2 linked regions of the Oryzias latipes genome follow. The protein of the gene in region 2 binds, or shares a complex with, the protein of the main gene of each other region. Links are inferred from orthologs where the notes say so. Each region holds a gene or a part of one and is shown on either strand. Other genes may lie near its edges.

Region 1 (11,630 bases), on a different chromosome or scaffold from region 2:
CCGGGGCTCTGCATAGAAACCTAAGACAAACAAAGCTGTGATCACGGATAAAGAAGACAGCCACAGGAGACAGCGTGGGATGTGTGTTGTGGACAGAGAAAACACGCTAAGCTGAGTATGAAACTGGAAACCACTGGAGCACAGCTGACTGCTAAAAGCCTCACTGTGAGAACATCAGTTAAATCCCAACATCTGAGGAACAGACTGAGACAGTTGAGAGGTGAAACTGAGGCTGGAGACTCACTAAAGCATTCCAGAACGACATAGAACAGGTCCAACAAGAGCTATCAGCACAGGCAAGATGAAAACATGGAGGTGCAAATGGTTTTCCAAAGAAATGTAAAAGGAAATACTTTTACTGCTAATTATCCAGTAAAATCAAAAACACAAACAGAACATTTGCTCCTGTGACATTCTTGTGCTTAATGTTCAGTTTTCAGATTTGAAAGGGAAAAAAAGCTTCTTTTTTTCCATCTAAATATTGAAAAATACTCATATTTTTTTTGTTTGTTAAATAAAACTTTAAGGCATTTTTAATAATACGGGGTTCACAAAAGGGAAGAATTTGAGATGTGTTAAGAAAAAACATGCTATATAGATCATTTTGAGGCACAAACAGATAGTTAATCATAGGAATAACATGCTTGTTAAGTAGGAACCTATTCAAAGTACAAACTAAATGAAAATAAAAGGCAGTTTCAATTTTTTTTTTTGCAGGTTAGAGTTTATTAACAATAAAATAGAAAAGTGAAATCTTAGAAAAATGGACGGAGAAACTGGTTAAATTTGGGAATAGAGTAAACCCTGCACACCCAAGTGGTGATTTAAGGGCAGCTGCCAAAAGGACACAACTATGAACGCACAAAGCTGCAAGACTCATTTTTGCTGAAACTTTCACAGCTAAGGCACAGTCTTTTAGCAGTAATGCTCCCTAAAAAGACTGAACCAAAAACCCAAGCTTTTAGGGAATGCATGTAATCTTCTAAGAAAGCAACAATGCAAAAATCTGGATTTAACCAAGCAATGCAGTTTGAAGTTTATCATGGCATGCCAGAAAAACAGGTATGAATGAAACATTTGTTAGCTTACCAGAACAAAAGTGTGGAATAAAAACGGGGAAAAAATGAATAAAGAACTCTAGATAAAATGTACTAATCTAAGTCTTGCTAAAAGCTCTAAATGTGAAGGAAGCACCAAAAGGCTGCAGGACGTATACGTCTAACTGTTATAGGGATAATCATCACTACAGTAATGTTTTAATTTACTGCTGCAGAAATTATAATCCATACCATTCATACATAGTGGTAAGTTTTTTTTTGTTTAGTTTTGAATAACAATGTTGGTCAAAATACCACAATCAAATATTTTGGCTCCAGCGAGACCCATTCCTTTTGTGGGGTATTAGAAACACCTGGAGGTGCTTTAGGGCAAACATGTTCAGTTACTGACAGACTCATGGGAATGCCTGAGAGGAGAGTATTTTTACAAATCAACAAGTATTTTATATCTGTAGACATTCCATTAAACTTCTATAACTCTTTAAAATTGCTCAATCTTTTTCTTTCTCCAAAGAGCTAATTAAGTATTTTGTTAAATTGTTTTTTTCAAGCTTCAACCACTGCTGCTCCTTTTGAAAGCACTTTAATGCTGTTAAATTAGTTCCTACTGTCAAATGAGCGGCACTCATTTTTAGTATTCGCACTCGAATCTGATTCAACTTTAGGTCAATAAAAAAAACCAAAGTGTTTCGATTCTGCAAAAAAAAAAAAAAAAAAAAGTTCCCAAATGAAATGCATTTTAACCTCCCTAATGTGCGACCCTTTCGCACGCTGTTATCAGGCTCTGCCAGATGGCTCCGGACCACCTGTGAGAGCAAACAGGTGCCAAGTCCTCTTTACTCAAGTTTCTGCTTGAATGCACCTGACAGGAGTCTGCTCACCCTGACCGGAGTGCTAAAACCATACGTCATGCATAATTTGACAAGTTATCACAATAAAAGTCTCAGCAAGCCAGTTAAAACTTGCAACTTCACTTTTCAAACAGAGAGGTGCATAATGGGAAGTAAGGCCCTGCAAGGGTTCACGTAGGGAGACCAAATATGAATAATGACCCTCACCAACGGCTCGGGACGAAATAATGTCCTCAAAGGTTTTTGAAGAAAAACGTGTCAAGTCTAGCGAAGGTTTAAGGTTTATGCAGTAATAACAAAATGAAATGATCATTTAGAGTGTCTTTATGGATCATAAAGCAGAGGAATCCTTGAAAAATGGAAAGACTGGCGTCCTTAAGCATGAGGGCTCACTTATCACGGCACTCTGAATAAGTCACACTGCTCAATGATCCGGTGCAAATCCCTTACCAGATACTGATGAATACATGGCAAGAGCACCACATCAGTCAGAGTGAAATACAGCCCTTCAGCGAACACGTGCTCCAGTGGCGGCAGCTCGCTGGTCTTCACTTTCCTGATCTCAGAGTTCTCCCTGGTGGTTACCGCCGGTACTGACACCACAGAGAGCTTAGCCAAAGCTGCCCTCAGCTCCAGCTCGTCAGAAACCTGTGGCGGACGTCCTGGAGACGGCTCCTTGTTCGCCTGGCCTCCAACAGGCTCCAGCTTCTCCCTGCGTTTCTGCTCTTGGAGCTTCTGCCTCCGGATTTTGTCGTCGTTGTGGACTTTGACGGGTTCTGCTAGCCGGCTCTCCAGGGTGAGAACAGGGAGAGGCAGCTGCTTCCCCACATCTCCTGGGTTATGGAGGTGTTCCTCCACAGCAGAAGGAATGCCTATTTCACACAGTCTGGTCCACTTGCTCACCTGCAGGGGGAAAGAGATACAGAACTTTACTCAACACCTATATGACGCTTTGGACAGTTTTGGCCGATTTCAAAATAAAATTCCCTGAGAAAAAATGATCAAAAGAGCTTTTAACAGCTCTTTAAAAAAATGCTTGTGACCGAAGCTTAAAGTATAATTTCAACAAAATGTTACTTTTTTGTAGTGTATCATATGACAGCAAGATGGCAACTAAATATACAGTCAGGACCATAAATATTTGGACAGAGACACATTCTTTCTAATTTTGTTTCTCTACATTACCACAGTGAATTTTAAATATAACAGCTCAGATGCCATTGAAGTGCAGACTTTCAGCTTTTATTCCATGGGTTGAACAAAAAGATTGCATAAAAATGTGAAAAACTAAAGCATTTTTTAAAGGCAATCCCTTCATTTCATGGGCTCCTGGACAAATGAAATAACTGAAAACAAAATGGTCATTACTAATATTTGGTTGGAAACTCTTTGTTGGCTATGACAGCCTGAAGTCTTGAACTCATGGACATCACCAGATGCTGGGTTTTCTGCTTCTGAATGCTCTGCCAGGCCTTTACTGCAGTGGCTTTCTGTTGCTGTTTCTTTGTGGGCCTTTCTGTCTGAAGTTTAGTCTGCAACAAGTGAAATGCATGCCGAGCAAAGACCTATCTAGCCTTCTTCCTATTCTTAAGGCTTATGACTTGTATCTTGCAGTGTACCCTCTGGATCTACTTTCATACATTCTTCTTTTTATGGCAGACTTGGATATTGATACGCCTACCTCCTGGAGAGTGTTGTTCACTTGGTTGGCAGTTGTGAACAGGTTCCTCTTCACCATGGAAATGATTTTGCCATCATCCACCACTGTTGTCTTCCGTGGACGTCCAGGTCTTTTTGCGTTGCTGAGTTCACCAGTGCTTTCTTTCTTTCTCAGGATGTACCACACTGTTGATTTTGCCACTCCTAATACTGTAGCAATTTCTGGCATGGTTTTTTTCTGTTTTCTCAGCTTAATGATGGCTCCTTTCACCTGCATGGAGAGCTCCTTTGACTGCATGTTGTCTGTTCACAGCAAAATCTTCCAAATGCAAGCACGAGTCCTCTAATCAACTCCAGGCAGAAACAAAATTAGAAAGAATGTGTCTCTGTCCAAATATTTATGGTCCTGACTGTATATGTAGATGCAGTTTGGTCTGGGTCATCTTGTACTGCTAGCAACAAATCCTGCCTTTAGGTGTTCAATGATGGAGTCAATTTGACAAGACTGTAGGTATCTTTTTTTACTGCCATCACATGTGTGTTGCCCACTGTAATGGCACTCTGTCAGTTTTTATGTTATAGTAAAATACACCCACAAGGCCTCAATCCAAATGGGACTTTCCAATATTGATAATAATCAATTTATTTCATTTTGAAATGATTTCATAGGTCGATTCAATTAACAGCTTGCGTCAGAAAGATCTGGTTGGATCATAGGAATAAAATTCGATTTTAGTCAATTAATCATTACATCCATAATTTGTTGGCAAGGTGCACCACCTGTCACCGGGGGGAAATGTCTGATAATTAATGTTGCTGTTTTTCTGTAACATATGGCAACATTGACCTGAAACTGTAAGATGATACTTGGTGTTGTGTTGGGGGGGTGTCATTTTTGTGGCATCTTTTTGCCTACAAACACAACAGCTGTTCCTTTCATGTAAAACTGCATAACTTTGATGCCCTTTAATGCAAAGCATCACGGTCTTTTCATATTTTCAAAACACACATAAAGACTTTTTGTGTTTTTCCATCCTGACAACCAAAACAAACCTACAGAGACGTGATAGAGTGTAATTGCACCAACCTCTGCACAGGCTTTTAAGCAGGTCTTTTTGAAGCCCAGCAGAGCTGCTACATCCTTCCTGGAAGGGTCAGCCTCGATGCTCTTGTCGATGATGTGTCTGAGGACCACCGCCAGTCCGGCCCTGCAGATCTGCGCGCTCTCATCCAGAGCAGCGGGGAGGCGGCAGCTGCTCACCAGTTTGGGCAGCTCGTCCACCTGGACGTCTGAGAGACTTGCAGATGCTGGAAGCTGGCTCTTCAGAGGCTCGGAGCTGCTGCTGTCGCCAAGGACGAGAAACACTCTGAAAGACTCGCAGTCGCAGTAAGACAGCAGAAACAGAACTATAGAAGAGTGCAGGGGAAGACGCAGCTGCTCGTTTTGGCTGCAAACTTCTAAGTAGAGGCACGGGGGTTGTTCGGCGTGTGTCATGGTAAATGCTGTGAATGGGAGAAATATGTTTAAGTATTTTTTATTATCACTATTTGTCTTTTCAACTGCTAATAATGCCATAAAACAGTCAGAAAGAAGTCATACAGACCGGCTACTTTACAAACATCACGTTATCAGCGTGCTGCTTTTTCTTCTTCTACTACGAGTTATTGAGTCGAGTATTGCCACAGCGCCACCAGCTGGTCGTTAAAATATATACATTTTAAATGCATTTATTGATAGAAAGTCGGTTAGAATAAAACTTATTTAAAAATACGAGTGAAAAAACAAAAAACAAATTCGCTTTGCTATTACGTGAAGTATATTTTTTGTTCTACTTGCGCCGCCCACTTAGATTCCGGACACATTTATCGGGTGCACATTGTGAAAGACATAAAACGTCAGCGGCGATTTCCTCTTTGTGGAAAGAGTTCTATTAAACAGAAATATCTACAGCAGAGACCAACATTTTGCAGAAACTGAGTGTGAGGTAGGATTACCCATTTAAAGCTATAGACTGGGGATTTTGACGTGTTGGTGACATTTGGGAAGATAACTTTACCTACGGTGTCGCAGTGATATTGTTCCGTCCATCTGCTACCAACGATTACTTTAAACCCTACCAACTGGATTTGAGCATTGTGGGTTGTTTTTAATAGACACAGGCATCATATTTCTTTATATATTTGTAGTAAATAATGCAGAGGCAGGATTTCTTGTAATAAATACCGCAAATAAGGAAAAATAGCTGGTTAGTCTTAAAAACGTTCCGTTTTTGTGTACCCATTATTAGGCAAAACTCTTAAAAATGAACATTTTTATTGGTTGCTGTATTTTTTGTTAGTTTTGACAGCCTATAGTTCATTGTAAATTGCTTTATTTGATTACAATTGTAATTAGCAAACTATAACTTTGAATAAATATGCTCATCATTGATATTCATTGTTGTAAATGCTCCCAGACGCCTATAAACATGTGTGACTGACTTAATAAATGTTTGTTTTTGTTTTTGTTTTTTATTATAGTTAGTATATTTAATTTGCAATCTAGATAAGATGAAATAGTTTTGTATTGTAGCAAAGTGTACATTTGTAATTTGCAGACGTCAATGAAAACCTAACATTATTCAATCATTTTCTAACTAGGCCATGGCTGGACCTGTCAGCTTGGAGTTGGACCCCCTTTTTTTAAAGGCTCTGGGTTATTTGCACTCCAAGAACAAAGATTCAGCAGAGAAACTCAAAGCTTTACTCGATGAGTCCCTTGCGAGAGGAGGTGACTCCTCCTACCGCTCATTACAAAAAGTAAGATCCGCTTCTTATAAAGATAGTCTTACGCTGTCAGTGATAATTCATTCGTATGGAGCTTATTGCTCCTCTTTTCTGCTGTGTTCATCTTTAGGACTTGGAAATGCCAAAAAGTTCTGTGTCCAAACTGAGCCTGACTAAGCAAGACTCAAAGTCTTTGAGCACTCCATCTTCCAGCAACAGTGGAAGTTCCAAATCCAGTTCAGAGAAGAGCAAGAAAGAAGCAGAGAAGAGGCCATCAGAGAAGGTGGGGGATTAAAAGTGTTGTCACATTATCATGTATGTTTAGATGACACCATGTGCCATGATTGGACTGTACTCATTAATTCTCTTCAGGATTTACATTGATTCCAATTAAAGCTGCAACAATTGTCAATCATTAGAATTTAGGAATAAAGCCCTGAAGAGACATAAAATATTGACAAATGCAAAAAGAAATGACAACACTCAAAAAAAAAATGTTTGGAATAAAATTTGAGACTTTTTTTTAACACCAGAAAAAGGATGCCTGATCAGGGAAAGAGAAAAAGAAAACATACATGGGTCATTATTTTAACATATCAGCAACTTAAAGGTTGTTTTTTTTTATGAATAATCGAAGTCTTGATTTATGGCTTTCCTGGGTCTTGTAATTGAATATTATTACTTTATTTTATGAACTAAATGATGCCACAGCGAGATGAACAAGTCCATTTCTAACAAACATGTACATCCTTAGTTTAAAATAATAATAATAGACATTGCTTGGGACTTTCTTCTCAATCTGTGGTTATTTTAAGCATAACAGCTTGTGTGATTGAACACCAATGTTGGTATGAATTTTCAAATTTCATACGTTCTCTGTCTCATTGACAAATAGATACGGGTGGAGTTGTCTGAAGTGGATCCTCCAAAAAAGTCCCGCTTGGAGAAACCGGACAATCGCTCGTCCCCTATAACTGTTCAGACGAGCAAGGACCTCATGCCCAACATACACGACTACGATGAAACTAATGCTGACGACTTTGCCATGGAAATGGGACTGGCTTGTGTGGTTTGCAGGTGCTTGTTAATTATCAAATGAAATGAAATGAAACTTTGAGTTTCTTTGTTATTTGCACATTTTTCTGGTTTGTGGATCCAGTTTCTCTTTCTACAACGTGCGAGTTGGTATGAAATTCTCTTCACTCAACTGTTTTTGCGTCTGCGTTTCTCTGAACTGTAGACAAATGACGGTGACCATGGGAAACCAGTTGGTGGAGTGTCAGGAGTGTCATAATCTGTACCACCAGGACTGCCACAAGCCCCAAGTGACAGACAAAGAGGTCAACGACCCCCGCCTTGTGTGGTACTGTGCTCGTTGTACCAGGCAAATGAAACGCATGGTGAGAGCTGTTCCTGTGCTCGGGTATTGACTCTTATAGTGATCAGCTGGGAGTCATGGCAACAGGACCAACAGTCTTCATTAAAGCTAATGATTTTTGTGTGTGTGTTCTCAAGGCGCAGAAACCTCCACAAAAACCGTCTCCTGCATCTGCATCATCAGTGCCTGTGGTGAAAGACACGCTGGTGAAGAAAACGGAGGGCAAGCTTAAGATTGACACAGCCAACACCTTCCAAGCCTTCAAAAGGACAGAGGTGAAGGTACGTGGTGACTTTTGTCGTCTAGACCTGTGGTCTCCAACCCCCCGGGCCGCAGACAGAAAAAAAAATGTATACACTAACTTCGATCATTTCTGTTTTGTTTATCACGATCTTTTATTATCTTTATGCAGTGCACAATGAAATTGTTTTCAGCAGCTCTTTTTCAATGAATAATTGCACATAGAAAAATAAATGTGCAGCCAGAGCGTTGTCAACAGAGTAGTGTATTTTCTGATACTAAAGAGAGTTTTATTTTGAAAAACTACCGGATTTTGTTTACCACATCCGTCCGTCTTAACGCGTCTCGTGACTTTAAGCATCTGCTCGGAACCTCGCAAGGCAAAGTTGGTTGCTCAACGCTTAAAGGCAAATCAAAACCAAACAATAAAACGTATTTGAAAAGTTTCTTTGGGGAGAGAAGAGTTAGTGTGGAAACAGAGGAAGAACATTTGACTTCAAAGGAAAATAAAGCTGCTATATGCAGACAAAATCAGGAGTCGTTCTTTAAATATGGATTTATTGAGATTCCCATGAACCAGAAGCTGCTCGCTTGTCTGATATGAAGTGACTGACATTTGAATGTTTCACTCATCCCGATAATGACGTTGCAAACGTGATGAACTCATGTTTATTATTTAGAAAATAAGTGAGTTGTGTCATTTATTTTGCTTTATTTATCCTTCTCATCTTAAAAGCCGGACGTGCCTGAAGTGAGCGTCTGGTTGTTAGCCCCCACTTTGACATTAAAGGGAAAATCTTCATCACAAAGTTTAAATTTAAACTATCCACAAACAATTTACAGGGAATGATTGTGTCAATCAAATAAAGTTTCGATTCGTGGAAACTTGTAAAGGGGACATTTTCTACAGCAAGGGAGAATTAATAAACATAAGAGCAGAGAAAATGTTTCTCTGTGTTCAAAAATACACAGTGAATCTGAATTTATGTAAAAACAAAATATGATCAGTCTTTTTGCCCTGAAAGATGATCTCAGACTGAGTTGAGTTATTTATTATAATGGTTTTCTATGTAAAAGAAGAAGAAAAAAACTATAAATTTGCTTTCATTGAATTATTTACAAATAAACAACTTTGACTCACTGAATCTTTGTCATATGTTAAAAAATAAAATTAAAAAAATCTGCTAATGGTCTCTGATTTTTTTTTTTTTTTTTTTTACAAAATTTCTTGTTATAGTATTTTATTTGAAAAAATAGGGTGTTCAGAAACCAGAAGCTTTAAAAAGATTAAACACAAACTTTGCCCGTTCGGACCGTTCCGTGAAAATATAGTCTTGACATTGAACCGGTCTGTGGCGAACCAGCATGTGGAGCTGCACAATATGGCCTTTTTCTATCCATATCTAAATGTAAAAAACTAAAAAAGTACTTGAAAATACCGTGTAAATGTTAAAATTGTAAAAAGAAATTGCAGTGAAGATTTTTCTAAAAATAACGTTTGCATTAGAAGCTTTAAACAGTTTGAACTAAAAACAACGCAGCAGGTCCACCTGAGGTGGCAAAGCACAAAAAAATCTTTAACAACAAAACATGAAATTTTCATCCTCTGGCACAAAAATGTGAATGTAGAAACATATCTCAGACATTTAAAACTGCAGCAGTCACATTAGCAGTTGTGGGGGGGGGGGGGGGAGTTGTTTGTAATACCTATGCAAAAGCATCATGTTTACTTTTTTTTTTCCATTTTCTTTTTTCACATTTCCACGGTAACAAAGTTTAGTCAATAAGAAAAACGCAATTACTCTAGCTGTACTTAAAAACCAAGGATTGGTTTAAAGCAAAGTTGTCTTTTTATTTATTTTTTAAGTTACATATTTAAGATTAATAGAAATGAGACAAGCGTGAAATTGTAAGGGGTTGCTTCTTGGTTTAAAATATTTTTGATGAAATGTGACGAATTTGTGACATCCTTTAGTTTCCTAACTTTGATTCTTTTCTCTTTTTTTTTTTTTGTCACACAGCCACCTGTCACATTGGCGAGTTCCACTATTTCAACATCCTCCTCCTCTAGCAGCGGTCTGACAGGCTGGGCTGCATTTGGCGCCAAAACAAACCCCTCTCTTCCCGCTAGCTCCAAACTAGCTTCCTCTGGCGCGAGCGGGAGCAGCAAGACCTTGACAGCTCCTAGTCAGAAACCTGTCGGGTTGTCAGGGCTCGCTGGAGCCAAGTCAGGACTTGCAGGAGGAAAAGTCGTTGGAAACAACAATGGAAATGGCTCCAGCCAGGTAACTCTCAAGCCTCCTCCACCTCTGACTTTGGGGAAGCAGCCAGTCAGTCGCTCGTCGAGCACAGAAAACCCGGGGAAAGTGTCCTCGCCATCTGGGGCAGGCTCTCCGAGCAACGCCCAAACAGGCTCCAGTGGCAGCAATAATGGAGGAGGTAATGGAAACAACGGTAATGGACATAAAGGCGCTCCAGGAGACAAAGCACCAACCTCTCAAGAATCCCAACTAAACGCCATGAAACGGCTGCAAATGGTCAAGAAGAAAGCAGCACAGAAAAAGATGAAGAAATAAGTGGATGCATAGAGAAAAGATGAAAGGAACATACAGGAAATTAGTGAATTCATTGCCAGAACTTTGCAAAAACTTGAGGAGCTGCACATGGAGCATACTTGAAGCTAACTTTGTAGAAAAATGTCACTTCATCATTAGATCTGATCCCTTAAAAATGCTCCTTTTTACCTATAATGTCATTAAATCTCCTGTTCTTATAAAATTATTGTAGCTGGTGTTTCTTGTGTGGATGCGAGTCAGTATGCCATATAAAATGAACAAAAGTACCACAACAATTTATTCATAAACATCATTTTTTATTTACAATGTCACCTTTTCAACACCAATGATAAAATTCTTCACTTTAAATGCACACAAAATAGTTTCTTAAACCTTCATAGATCGTTGACAAATATACTTCATATATCTTCTTCTATAAATCTTCTCACATATATTGTATTTACTTCATATTTAAATCACTTCATTTTTACTCTAAACAACACTGAAGAACAAAAAGTGCTCAGCAAAAGTGCTGTTTGCTTTTTAATGGAACCGCTCGCTTTTTTTTAACACGTTATTGCTCAAAGGCGTAGGCGAGCTCTTGTGGTTCATTCTCACAAAGACAAAGACTGTGATCAACCATTTCAATACAAAAACATAACTGATTGCATCTGCTTTCAAAAAGTGCTGTTTGACATCAGCAAAGAGTTAAAAAAAGAAACAGTGCTAAAAGAAAATAACATTTCACTTTCCAAACTGTTAAGACTCAGTATTTTGTCAAAATACTTTTGCATGAGGAACTCTTTTATTTAAAATATTTCCCAACTTTTTTATTATAAAAGTAAATAACATTAAGCTTTCTTCTTTTTAGTATAGAGTTTAGCACTTATTTATTTTAGTTCCGAGCTGCATTCGATTTTTTTCGAGACATTTTTTTCTTTTCATGATAACAGGCCAGTTTGGCTTCTGTAGCCTTCCGCACGCTCTAGGGCAGGCATGTCCAAAGTCCGGCACTTGTCCGGCCAAATGCGACCTGTGTTAAAATTCCACCGCCCCGCGGGCTCCTGTCATAAAATCAAAAATATGGGGCTCCCAGCCCTTTCTGAAAAACTGTGCAGACGAT
Region 2 (9,935 bases):
TCAGACTAATAATATTAAATAAATATGACCTCACTGACCTCACTCATCAGACATGATTTGTGAAGAGCGACGCGTTTTGTTAGTTGGAGAAAATGTCTGAGCGCGAAAAAATGCATCAAAACCTCTAGTTTAAGAAGTAAATCTACTGATTGCTGGTATTTTGTGCTAACTGAAATGACTGGACACATTTACAAGCAAGGCTACGTCCGCCTCCAGCAAAACGTAGCAAAACACTGCTAACTTTTAACACACACCGTTCGAAAAAACTAAACCAAACTACGAGATGGTCTCACCAGTCTGCCTCCGTCTGCCCACTCCTCTAGCGACTACGGATCGGAAAAGCATCCTAATACAACAACAAAGGACAATCCCAGATGGCTGTTAAAACGCCTGTGAAGTTTGTTGGATCGTTATGGGAAGGTCTTCTTGTCCGTGTTGCTGCAGACTGTTTCCCGCGAAGTGATCGCCCTCAGAGACAAACCGAATTCCGCGCGAGTTTTGCGTCGCAGGCTGCCATTGGTTCAATCGGGGTCCAAGTCGGAGCACTTCCGCTTCTGTTGACTTTGTGCTACATCTCCTCTTTCCGCTTTTTCAATCAAAGAAACGATTAAGTAAACAGCTAGTTTCAAGTATTTTATATCAACTTTTGTTTCTGCATTCATGCAAACGTTTTATTTCTAGACATCAGACCTTGATTTATCCCCAAAATATAGAAAATAGGATTTATTACCCCGGCCCTAATGTTGTTGTTGTTGTTCTGACCGGACGGAATTAATTGTGACAGACTGTCGCTAGTACTAAACTGTGCACTGAAATTCTTATGCTTATTGGGTAATATTAAATTTTTTTTAGCGAACATAAAATGTCGCTGTCGTCAGCGCGTTCTTTCTTATCAGAGGCTTGTTATGGAGAACAAGAACTGGACGCTAATTCTGCTCTCATGGAGCTGGACAAAGGTGTGCTAGCTTCTTTGCTATGCGTTATCATACATTGCATCCCAATATACCGTGAAGTTTTTTTTTTTTTTTTTTTTTTTTTTTTTTTTTTTTACAATGGACTTTACTATAATTGTTTTTGTTTTAAATATTGCTGTGTAAATTCAGTTTGTTTTGTGTTAAATCCGCGTTCAGGACTGCGGTCGGGGAAACTCGGAGAGCAGTGCGAGGCTGTGGTGTTGTTCCCAAAACTCTTCCAGAAGTACCCCTTCCCCATCCTCATCAACTCAGCCTTTCTAAAACTAGCAGATATCTTCAGACTTGGGTAGGACCGTTTCATTTGTTTATTTTAAACACCCGATATTTCACATAGGATCGTTACAAGACCACTTGATTGTTTGTTGTTTAAATAAAGATGCATGAATTTAATCTCTAATGAAAAGGCAACTTTGACTTTTATGGTTTAGCTTGAGCTCATAGATTCTTAATGTTTTGGGGTTGCTCATAAGCAAGTTTAGTTTATCAGATTTAAAAAGAAGTTTGGTGGTATTTGTTGCCCTGGTAACGCATTCTGTGTACCCAAATTAGCTCTAAAGACTAAATGGAATATTTCAGTGAACTTTACTTTGCCACAAGCCTGTTTGTTCATGGAAACGTCTGTTTACAGCAACAACTTCCTCCGTCTGTGTGTGCTGAAAGTAACGCAACAAAGTGAGAAACATTTGGAAAAAATTCTCAACGTGGACGAGTTTGTGAAAAGGGTGTTTTCAGTCATCCACAGCAATGACCCTGTGGCCAGAGCCATTACATTAAGGTACAGCACAACAAGGGGGAGATGTGTTACAGAATGCACTTAAAAATTCAAATGGAAAAAATGTTGAATTTGTATTTTATTTGACTAAATTGCTAAGTTTCCCCTGGTTCTGGTCTGTTCAGGATGCTCGGTAGTTTGGCCTCGATCATCCCAGAGAGGAAAAATGCCCACCACAGTATTCGGCAAAGTCTGGATTCCCATGATAATGTGGAAGTGGAAGCTGCCATCTTCGCTGCTGCAAGCTTTTCTGCACAGTCAAAGTAAGGAAAGTCATGAGTGATACATCCATTGTAGTTCATTAGGATTTTTTTTTAATTACATGTTATTTATAATTTTTCCTTTTTAGAGACTTTGCAGCTGGAATTTGCAATAAAGTCAGTGAAATGATTCAAGGTAAATTGATTATGTGTTGAAAATAAAGCATTTGTGAAAGAATACATTTTTCCAAAGGTATTAAATAATTTCTAGATAGTCTTTTTAAGCTTTTATTTTTATTTCCTTCTCAGGTTTAGACACTCCAGTGGACCTGAAGCTAAAGCTGATTCCCATGCTGCAACACATGCATCATGATGCCAATCTGGCTTCCAGCAGCAGGGAGCTTCTGCAGCACTTGGTCAGTTCCTACCCTTCCACCCCTATGGTCATCGTCTCATTGCACACCTTTACCCAACTGGCTGCTTCCTCCCTCATTGATATTCCTAAGCAGGTAACCTCATGTCACAATCTTAGTGACTTGTATCTGATCTCTAATAAGGTTTTTAATGTGCTGGTACACTAAAAAGATGATATTTGGAACAAATTCTTTCCTGCAGTTGCAGCTTCTGCTTCAGTACCTTAGAGATGATCCAAGGAAAGCTGTGAAGATGCTCACAATTAATGATTTAAAACTTCTGGCTAAAAAGGCCCCTCATCTGTGGATCAGAGAAAACACTCAGGTAAGGGGGACAATGGTTATTTTCACGTTAGTTAAACGTTTTTATGTAATCCAACTGGTTTTATATATTTTTGCAGACTCTGTGCGAGTGTGCTTTGGCCATTCCCTACAATAGTTTGAAGCTGGGCATGTTGGCTGTCCTCTCTACCTTATCTGGAACAATTGCAATCAAGCAGTATTTTAGTAATCCAGCAGGTGACAAGTTTACTCCAAAAAATCTTGTTTTTTTACTAATATTTTCTAGCATCAATCTAAAAACTGAATCTGTTCAACTTTCAGGCAGCTCCATGGTCTCCCCCCAGCTTACTGACCTGGTTAAACTTGCTCAAGAATGCTGTTACCATAGCAACCTGGCAGTGGCTGCTCAAGGGGTCGCCGTGCTCTCCAACATTGTTATTTCTTGTCCAGAAAAAGGTGAGCTTCTGCGGTGGTGGCCTATATTCCAGTCTTTTTTGTTTTTAATCTAGTGTTTGAGCTTTAATTTTATTGTCCATTTCCTATTTCCTTCCCCTCAGATATAATTCAGTTGGAGCAGGAAACAGTTTTGGGAGTTGAGTCCCTTCTGATGCTGTGTAGTCAGGATAGCAGCCCTGGTTCACAAGCCACACTCAAAGTAAGACACAACTATTTCCCAAAGGCTAAGGTATTAAATGCAAATGTGACCCACATTTTCAACGTCTGCACAAAATTGGACCAAAATTCAAGCGATTTTTGCTCGAATTTTGCTGCTCCCCCTACAGCATATACTCACAGCGCCATTGTGAGGAATGGAAAGATTGAGTGTTTCATCTTTAAGTAAACGAATGAAGAAATCACAACTTTGGACCTAGCAACATTTAAAAAAAGCTTATTCATTTCAAAAATATTCAGTAAATCTGTATTTTATTGTCGTCTTCTTTCTGAACCACCACAGACTGGCCTCACCTCACTGGTCAAGTTGCTCAAAGGTCGACCGCATCTCAGCCAGGCAGCTGTGGATTTCCTGCTGGGCCAGCTCCACTTATCCTGTGACTCGTCCCGCACTCTCATTTGCCACGCTCTGGCGGCCATTGCCACTCACCTGCCCGTGCTGGGGGACGGCATGCTGGGGGATCTGGTGGATCTCTACAGGGTTGTCAGTCACTCCTCCACCGGAGAACAGCAAGAGCTTCTGGTGAGAGATGGCAATCAAGTCACGCCTGATTTTCTGTTAACTTGCGTTGGATGTGGATTTGGTTCAAGATGACATTTTTTGTGGATTTTCTATTTTAGGGTCACTTCATTTAATTGTTCCTTAACTATGGCCAGCAGCAGTCCTGGACTGCGAGGAATAGATTGTTTTTGCAATTCTCTTTTCTTACTGCATCTGGTCAAAATGTATTTTGGGCATAGAAAGTGGAAATGTGGGTGTGGTTAACAAAAAACCTTTGTAGCTAAGGAAATCCAAAAATTACATAGACCTGTTCGTCAACCCCATGTGACCAAAATAATGAATAGTTGCTATAGAGATGAAATCAATAAAAATATTTTGGGGAAAAAATCATTTTTTAATGAATTTGTCATGTGCAGTTTTGAACAGAGGGGCAGAGTGAAGGGGTTTAGCAGCCACTCAGCCATTGAGGGCAGGTCAAAGGGGGCTGCAGGGGCGGGTGGCGCCTACAGACCATACAACGCCATGCGCAGCTTTGGTTTTCTTTTTTATCTGCCATTTTAAACTAATTCACATAATGTGGCTGCTACAGGTTTCCTTGGCAACAGTGATTTTTGTTGCAAGCCAGTCATCTCTTTCAGCCGAGGTGAAAACTGTCATCAAACAGCAACTGGAGAGCGTTGCTAACGGGTGGACGGTGTATCGCATCGCACGCCAGGCTTCACGGATGGTGAGCTTCTATCGAAGCAGCGTTTGCGTGAAGCCATGAAGCCGGAAATCAAAGCTCCTTGTGTTTGACCTTCAGGGGTGCCACGAGTTTTCCAGCGAGCTGTACCAATGTCTGCGGACGCGTGTGGCATCTGAACACTTCTACTTCTGGCTGAACAGCCTGAAGGATTTTTCCCAGGCTGAGCAGTGCCTCACTCACGTGGAGGATGGAGACTACAGCGGAGCCATGAGTGCCATCGCCGAAGCTCTTCGCTCCTACCAAAAGGGCATCGCCTCCCTCACAGTCGGTTAACTCCCAGGCATCTGCTTGTCATAAAACATTAATGTAGTCCACGCTTCCCTAGGGACTTAAGTGTTTTAGGTTTTGAAAGTCATTTGGATGTTTATGTATTTTGTTGACGCTCCTTAAGTCATAAATGAGTAATATTTGTGAGCGTTTATCTGATGCATCTGTCCCTTTAGGCTGCCAGTACCCCTCTGAGCCCGCTTACATTCCAGTGTGAGTTCATTAAGCTGCGCATCGACACTCTGCAAGCCCTGTCGCAGCTCATTTGTACATGCAACAGCCTGAAAACCAGCCCCCCTCCTGCCATCGCCACCACCATTGCGCTCTCCTCCGGCAACGAGCTGCAGCGGTGCGGCCGCATCTCTCTGCAGGTTAAAGAAATAGATTCTGTTTGGGTGAAACTTGTGGAGAAAAGAGTTGGGAAGTTCTGCTGCTAAGTGGAAATGCATTGTGGGAACAGATGTTGAGGGTTATTAACTCTGTAGTTTGACTAATGAGCCTTTTATCTTAACGTTCCTCCTGTCCGCTTTGACATGTTTTTATCTACAAAATGTGACGAAAAGGAGTTTCCTGTTAAAATGCAAATAAATTATGAAAAAATAAAAGAAATCTTGGTGCTGACAAGCAAGATTTATGAGATTATTAATGGTGCTTCTCTTCTTTTTTCCAGATGAAAGTATGCATGGAAGAGTTCAGAAGTCTCGCCGCTCGCTATTCAGATTTACACCAGTCATCTTTTGATGCTGATTACGCCACCCTTCGTAATGTGGAGTTGTATCCTTAGCATTGGACTGAAGTCTGTCTTAAAAAGGTTTTCCATTTTTGCTCTCTACTGTGATTGACTTCACCTTAACTGTTTATGCAGACAACAGCAGAGCTGCCTGCTTGTTTCACATGTAATTGAAGCTTTGATAATCGACCCACAGGTAGCTAGGTGAGATTCACTCTTATCATTTGGCCTTCAAAAGAATGCACATTTCTATACCTTAGTCTATTTAAAAAAAAAAAAATTCTATTGCATATTCGTCCCAGTGTAATTCTACTGGAAGACCTTACTCTAAATATTTAAACATATCATTATTTATGTGAGAAAGTGAACTAAGAAAACATCTGGCATGAGGATGTATGAAGTTAAGATGTCACACCGCTTCTTGTGAACTGCAGTTTTCAGGAGTACGGCACTCTGGGCTCTGTCCAGACTGAGAGTGAATATGAGCGCAGAATGATCGCAGTTTTTAATCGCGTCCTGGAGGAAGCGGAAGGCCTCACCAAGAAGCACCCTCCTGTTTCACACCTGGTACGATGTCAACTTTCTGCTAAGTTTTTCAAACTTTAATGGTTGTACTAAGAGGTGGTTTACCTGCCCCTTTGGACATAAATTCTTTCAGTTTTTCAAACTTCTGTCAGTGTTCAGAGACTTGGTCACATGTGCAGATTAATACATTTAGGAATGGTCAAGATATTTGCACCTAATTTATTACATTATTTATCATAATTTATTACATTTTGTGATAAATTTGGACTCATTTATCTTTTTTTTTTTAAATAAATTTACTTTTACATTGTTCAATTCAGTTTCATGTTTAAAAATAAACTTGACTCTACATCCTGATAAGCTTCTTTTTTTTTTTTCAAAGTTTCTGTCTGTGGTTTTAAATGATTTTTTAAAAGCTGTCCTTTAATGCAGCTGTTTTTCCAGATTAAAATATAAAGGTGATGGGACAATTGGACTAAACCTTTAATTCAAGCAGAAGTTGGAGACTCCAAACAGCCGATTGTCATGTTTCATATGATGATTTGGTTTAATTACATCAGAATCGGCCAACCTAAACGTGTTGTTTTGTTTTCCAGCACACCAGCTGCCTATGTGACACTGTCATAGCTTTGCTCAAAGTGCCGCTGTCTTTCCAGAGATATTTCTTTCAGAAGCTCCAGTCAACCAGTATCAAGGTAATTATTATTTTAATTAGAATTGTCTGTGAAACATCTTTCTGAGCTTTTTATTTGTTGTTGCCGCTGAGAGGTCATTAGAGCTTTTATCTCAGTGATTGTAAGTGGGGGGGGGGGTGTATTGACCAGCTGTTTGTGGTACGCTGGAATACTTCCTGGTCCGGCTTTCAAGGAACCACTTGTGCCGAACCACTCCATGCAAAAACGAACTGGTTATTATCTTTCCGACACAAAAAAGGGCAGAAATGGTCAAATCAGCTCAGAGAAATACATTTAATGATTTCCTAAAGACAAAAAATGCTGCAGCATGAAAGAAAAAGAATGAAACCTTTTTAGTTTGCCCCTTGAGAGGTTTTTGTGGGGTTTTTTTTTTGGCAGTTGGCGCTCTCTCCATCGCCGCGCACGCCGAGCGAGCCCATCCCTGTTCAGAGCAGTCAGCAGCTCACGCTCAAGGTGGAAGGAGTCGTACAGCACGGTTCGACTCCAGGACTCTTTAGGAAAATCCAGTCTGTCTGTCTCAATGTCACATCCGTTCTCCAGAGCAAGACCGGACCTGACTACAAAGTAAGTTCTTTGAGCCAAAATCAACTCTACCGATGTAAAAGTGATTTAGAAAGCTGGTGTTTCTATCATCTGTTTTTCACAAACGGTTGCATATTCCGGGTTTTTATCTTTCAGATTGCGCTGGATGCTAAAACAAATGAGATCGAGCAGCGTGTAGAACCTCACAATGACTACTTCAGCACCCAGTTTTTGCTGAACTTCTCCATCCTCGGCACCCACTCAGTCACCGTGGAGGCATCTGTGGTGGATGAGAGTGGCATTCAGTGGAAGACTGGGCCCAAGACGACAGTATCTGTCAAGTCTCTGGAGGATCCTTATTCCCAGCAGCTTCGCCACCAGCTGCAGCAGGGCGGAGCTCAGCCGGCAGCACAAAGGAGTGCATACATTCGCTTCTAGTGACTTTTTTTTCAAGTACTTTACAATGTGAGCTTGTGTAGTTGACCTTTTCTACATCATAGAAACTAAGCATGTACAGAAAAAAAAATTCAGATAATAAAAGACCATAAATTCTTTTTGGTGTTTTTATTTGAAGTGTTCATGTGGTTAGACATTTTGATGGCATTTAAATTTCTTGTGCTTAGATTACCCAATTCTACTTTTTTTTTTTATTTGAAAAAGATTTTAAGACACTTGAGTATATTACCTTTTAAGTGGCATTTCATGCGCTCACAAAATGAAGAGAGAATAAAAAGACAACTTTTAAAAACTTTTGGCTTGATAATTGCTTTCAATAACATAGTTGGACACCAGGGGGCAGCACCAAACAAACCATCGCTTTCAATTATAATCTTTTAATTGAACAATTTTTCTGTTTTGCTATCGACGCTTTTTTTAAAGATATTTTCTAAAGAGTTCAAAGTATTTATAGTACTAAATTCCTAAGTTTAACCGTTTTTCAGTAGGAATGAGGCAATATTGTTTTCATTAAACTAACATGTATCTTTGTGTTTACATCTCGTACTTTGCTGTCACATTTAAAAGAGTTAGACATTATTTTTTTAGATACTTTATAAGTTAAACTATAGAAAGAAAAGTCACATTTCTTCCATAATTTTTCGGAATTCTGCGTTTAGATAACAGTATGAGTCATTAATAAACTCGTCTTGCATTTTTTTTAACTTTTACTCGGAAATATGACCGATGTCAAAGTTTATAATACCTATGAAAATTATATTTGAAAGAAAGATTGGGGAAGGCGAAGAGGGCGAGTCATTGTAGATGACGCTACTAAATAGTGCCACCGCGCCTGCTTTTATTTTGAAGGCGTGTCGCACTCATTTCCGTTTTTGGCGTTTTGATCCTTTGTGTGCACTGCCGCGGTATGAATCGGAGATCTGGTAAGAGATAACGGGTCCTGGCAGCCCAGGGAATAAATCTCGTTGTCCCTCGTATTTGATGCGCACATGAAGGTGTTGCGGTGCGCCTGTCTAACGAGCGGCGTTGAGCCCGGGCCCGCATTCACCAGGCTCTGCCGCACTCTTTGATGTGTGAGCTCGGTGGCTAGCGGAGTTGACGGTGATGCTGCTGCATCAGAGGATTTATCCCGGCGCCTATGACTGTGAGATGGAGCTAACGGCGTTCAAATGGAGCTGCCCCCTCGACAGTTAGCGAGCTAACCCTGCTCGTACAGACCTGTCCCGGAGAGCTAATGGGTGCAGTTTCATCGCCCAGGGCTTTCTGTAACATCACCACCACGTTGTTACACCCCTGTCTTGTCTACACATCTAACCGATCATGCCGTGCTGCAATATTTGCTAACTTTGCCGTTTAGGAAAGCTACACGTGAACGAATTGATCCTACTTCCAAAGTTAGTAGTCTTCTGGCCGTCCTTGGATGCTTCAGTGATATTAAGTGGGTGAGTAACTTAAGGTACCATACTTTTGCTTCCAAACTACAGGGTGGGACTACACTCTGGATGAGATCTTCTTGCGCGTTGCACCAACATCCATACATCCTGTTTCTAACGTTTGGAAATTTTATCTTAAAGTACTAATCAGCTTAAACCTGTCACCCCTTTTTTGTTTATGTCGCATCATTTATTTTTAAATAATTATTTCAACCCAGTGATTGTCATTGGTGACATTTCATAGCATCTGTTCCCGTTATGCTAACTCACCGCGCGGCTAACTAGCATGTTATGAAGTAGTCGTCTACGACCCCGGCGAATTGTCCTTTTAAGGTCCAGCCTCAGCTTGTCTTACTCTTTCAGCCTCACAAACAACCCCGAATAACACACGTTTCTTTACAAAATGAATGTCATTAAATAATAATCATCATCATAATAATAATCCGTTCATAGTGTCCTCTAAGCGTGTGTTGCATATAAATGCCGTGAAATAGCCTTATCCTCAAATGTGTTAGCTATGAAATACTCCCATATAAGTAAAACTTCAGCTTAATATATCCTTCGTTACACGTGGCTGTGTTATGGAAGTAAAACCCTAAATAAATACTCTATTACCTGCATTGTAAGGTATTAATTTAAAATACTAGTGTACAATTCAGCATGTTTTTACAAATGAAATCAGTAGGAAATGGTTCACTTTGTAATTTAATGATTTCCCTTAACTGTGAGGGGACAGGAAGTGATTAA

What was found. Proteins that work in one complex are often made in the same cells at the same time.
Region 1: ints7 (region 2) and ints12 share a complex: the UniProt entries of both Homo sapiens proteins name them as parts of the integrator complex. The link is inferred for Oryzias latipes from reciprocal best matches to the Homo sapiens genes INTS7 and INTS12.

Annotation. Positions count from the first base shown.
Region 1 is NC_019859.2:15,815,975-15,827,604, reverse strand, and holds ints12 (integrator complex subunit 12), read left to right. Parts: upstream 1-5,061; coding exon 5,062-5,064; exon of another isoform or gene 5,065-5,071; intron 5,072-5,172; exon of another isoform or gene 5,173-5,328; intron 5,329-5,434; exon of another isoform or gene 5,435-5,553; intron 5,554-6,208; coding exon 6,209-6,367; intron 6,368-6,464; coding exon 6,465-6,617; intron 6,618-7,229; coding exon 7,230-7,411; intron 7,412-7,574; coding exon 7,575-7,734; intron 7,735-7,849; coding exon 7,850-7,993; intron 7,994-9,973; coding exon 9,974-10,528; 3' UTR 10,529-10,736; downstream 10,737-11,630. Other genes in the region: gstcd (glutathione S-transferase C-terminal domain-containing protein), read right to left, coding at 2,360-2,812, 4,656-5,063. UniProt on the Homo sapiens protein: Component of the integrator complex, a multiprotein complex that terminates RNA polymerase II (Pol II) transcription in the promoter-proximal region of genes.
Region 2 is NC_019882.2:6,286,115-6,296,049, forward strand, and holds ints7 (integrator complex subunit 7), read left to right. Parts: upstream 1-554; 5' UTR 555-862; coding exon 863-956; intron 957-1,130; coding exon 1,131-1,260; intron 1,261-1,602; coding exon 1,603-1,749; intron 1,750-1,871; coding exon 1,872-2,009; intron 2,010-2,095; coding exon 2,096-2,142; intron 2,143-2,255; coding exon 2,256-2,455; intron 2,456-2,561; coding exon 2,562-2,684; intron 2,685-2,760; coding exon 2,761-2,878; intron 2,879-2,962; coding exon 2,963-3,097; intron 3,098-3,198; coding exon 3,199-3,296; intron 3,297-3,596; coding exon 3,597-3,836; intron 3,837-4,404; coding exon 4,405-4,542; intron 4,543-4,617; coding exon 4,618-4,824; intron 4,825-5,003; coding exon 5,004-5,198; intron 5,199-5,497; coding exon 5,498-5,601; intron 5,602-5,692; coding exon 5,693-5,761; intron 5,762-5,991; coding exon 5,992-6,124; intron 6,125-6,678; coding exon 6,679-6,777; intron 6,778-7,155; coding exon 7,156-7,341; intron 7,342-7,455; and 3 more. Other genes in the region: dtl (denticleless protein homolog), read right to left, coding at 294-345. UniProt on the Homo sapiens protein: Component of the integrator complex, a multiprotein complex that terminates RNA polymerase II (Pol II) transcription in the promoter-proximal region of genes.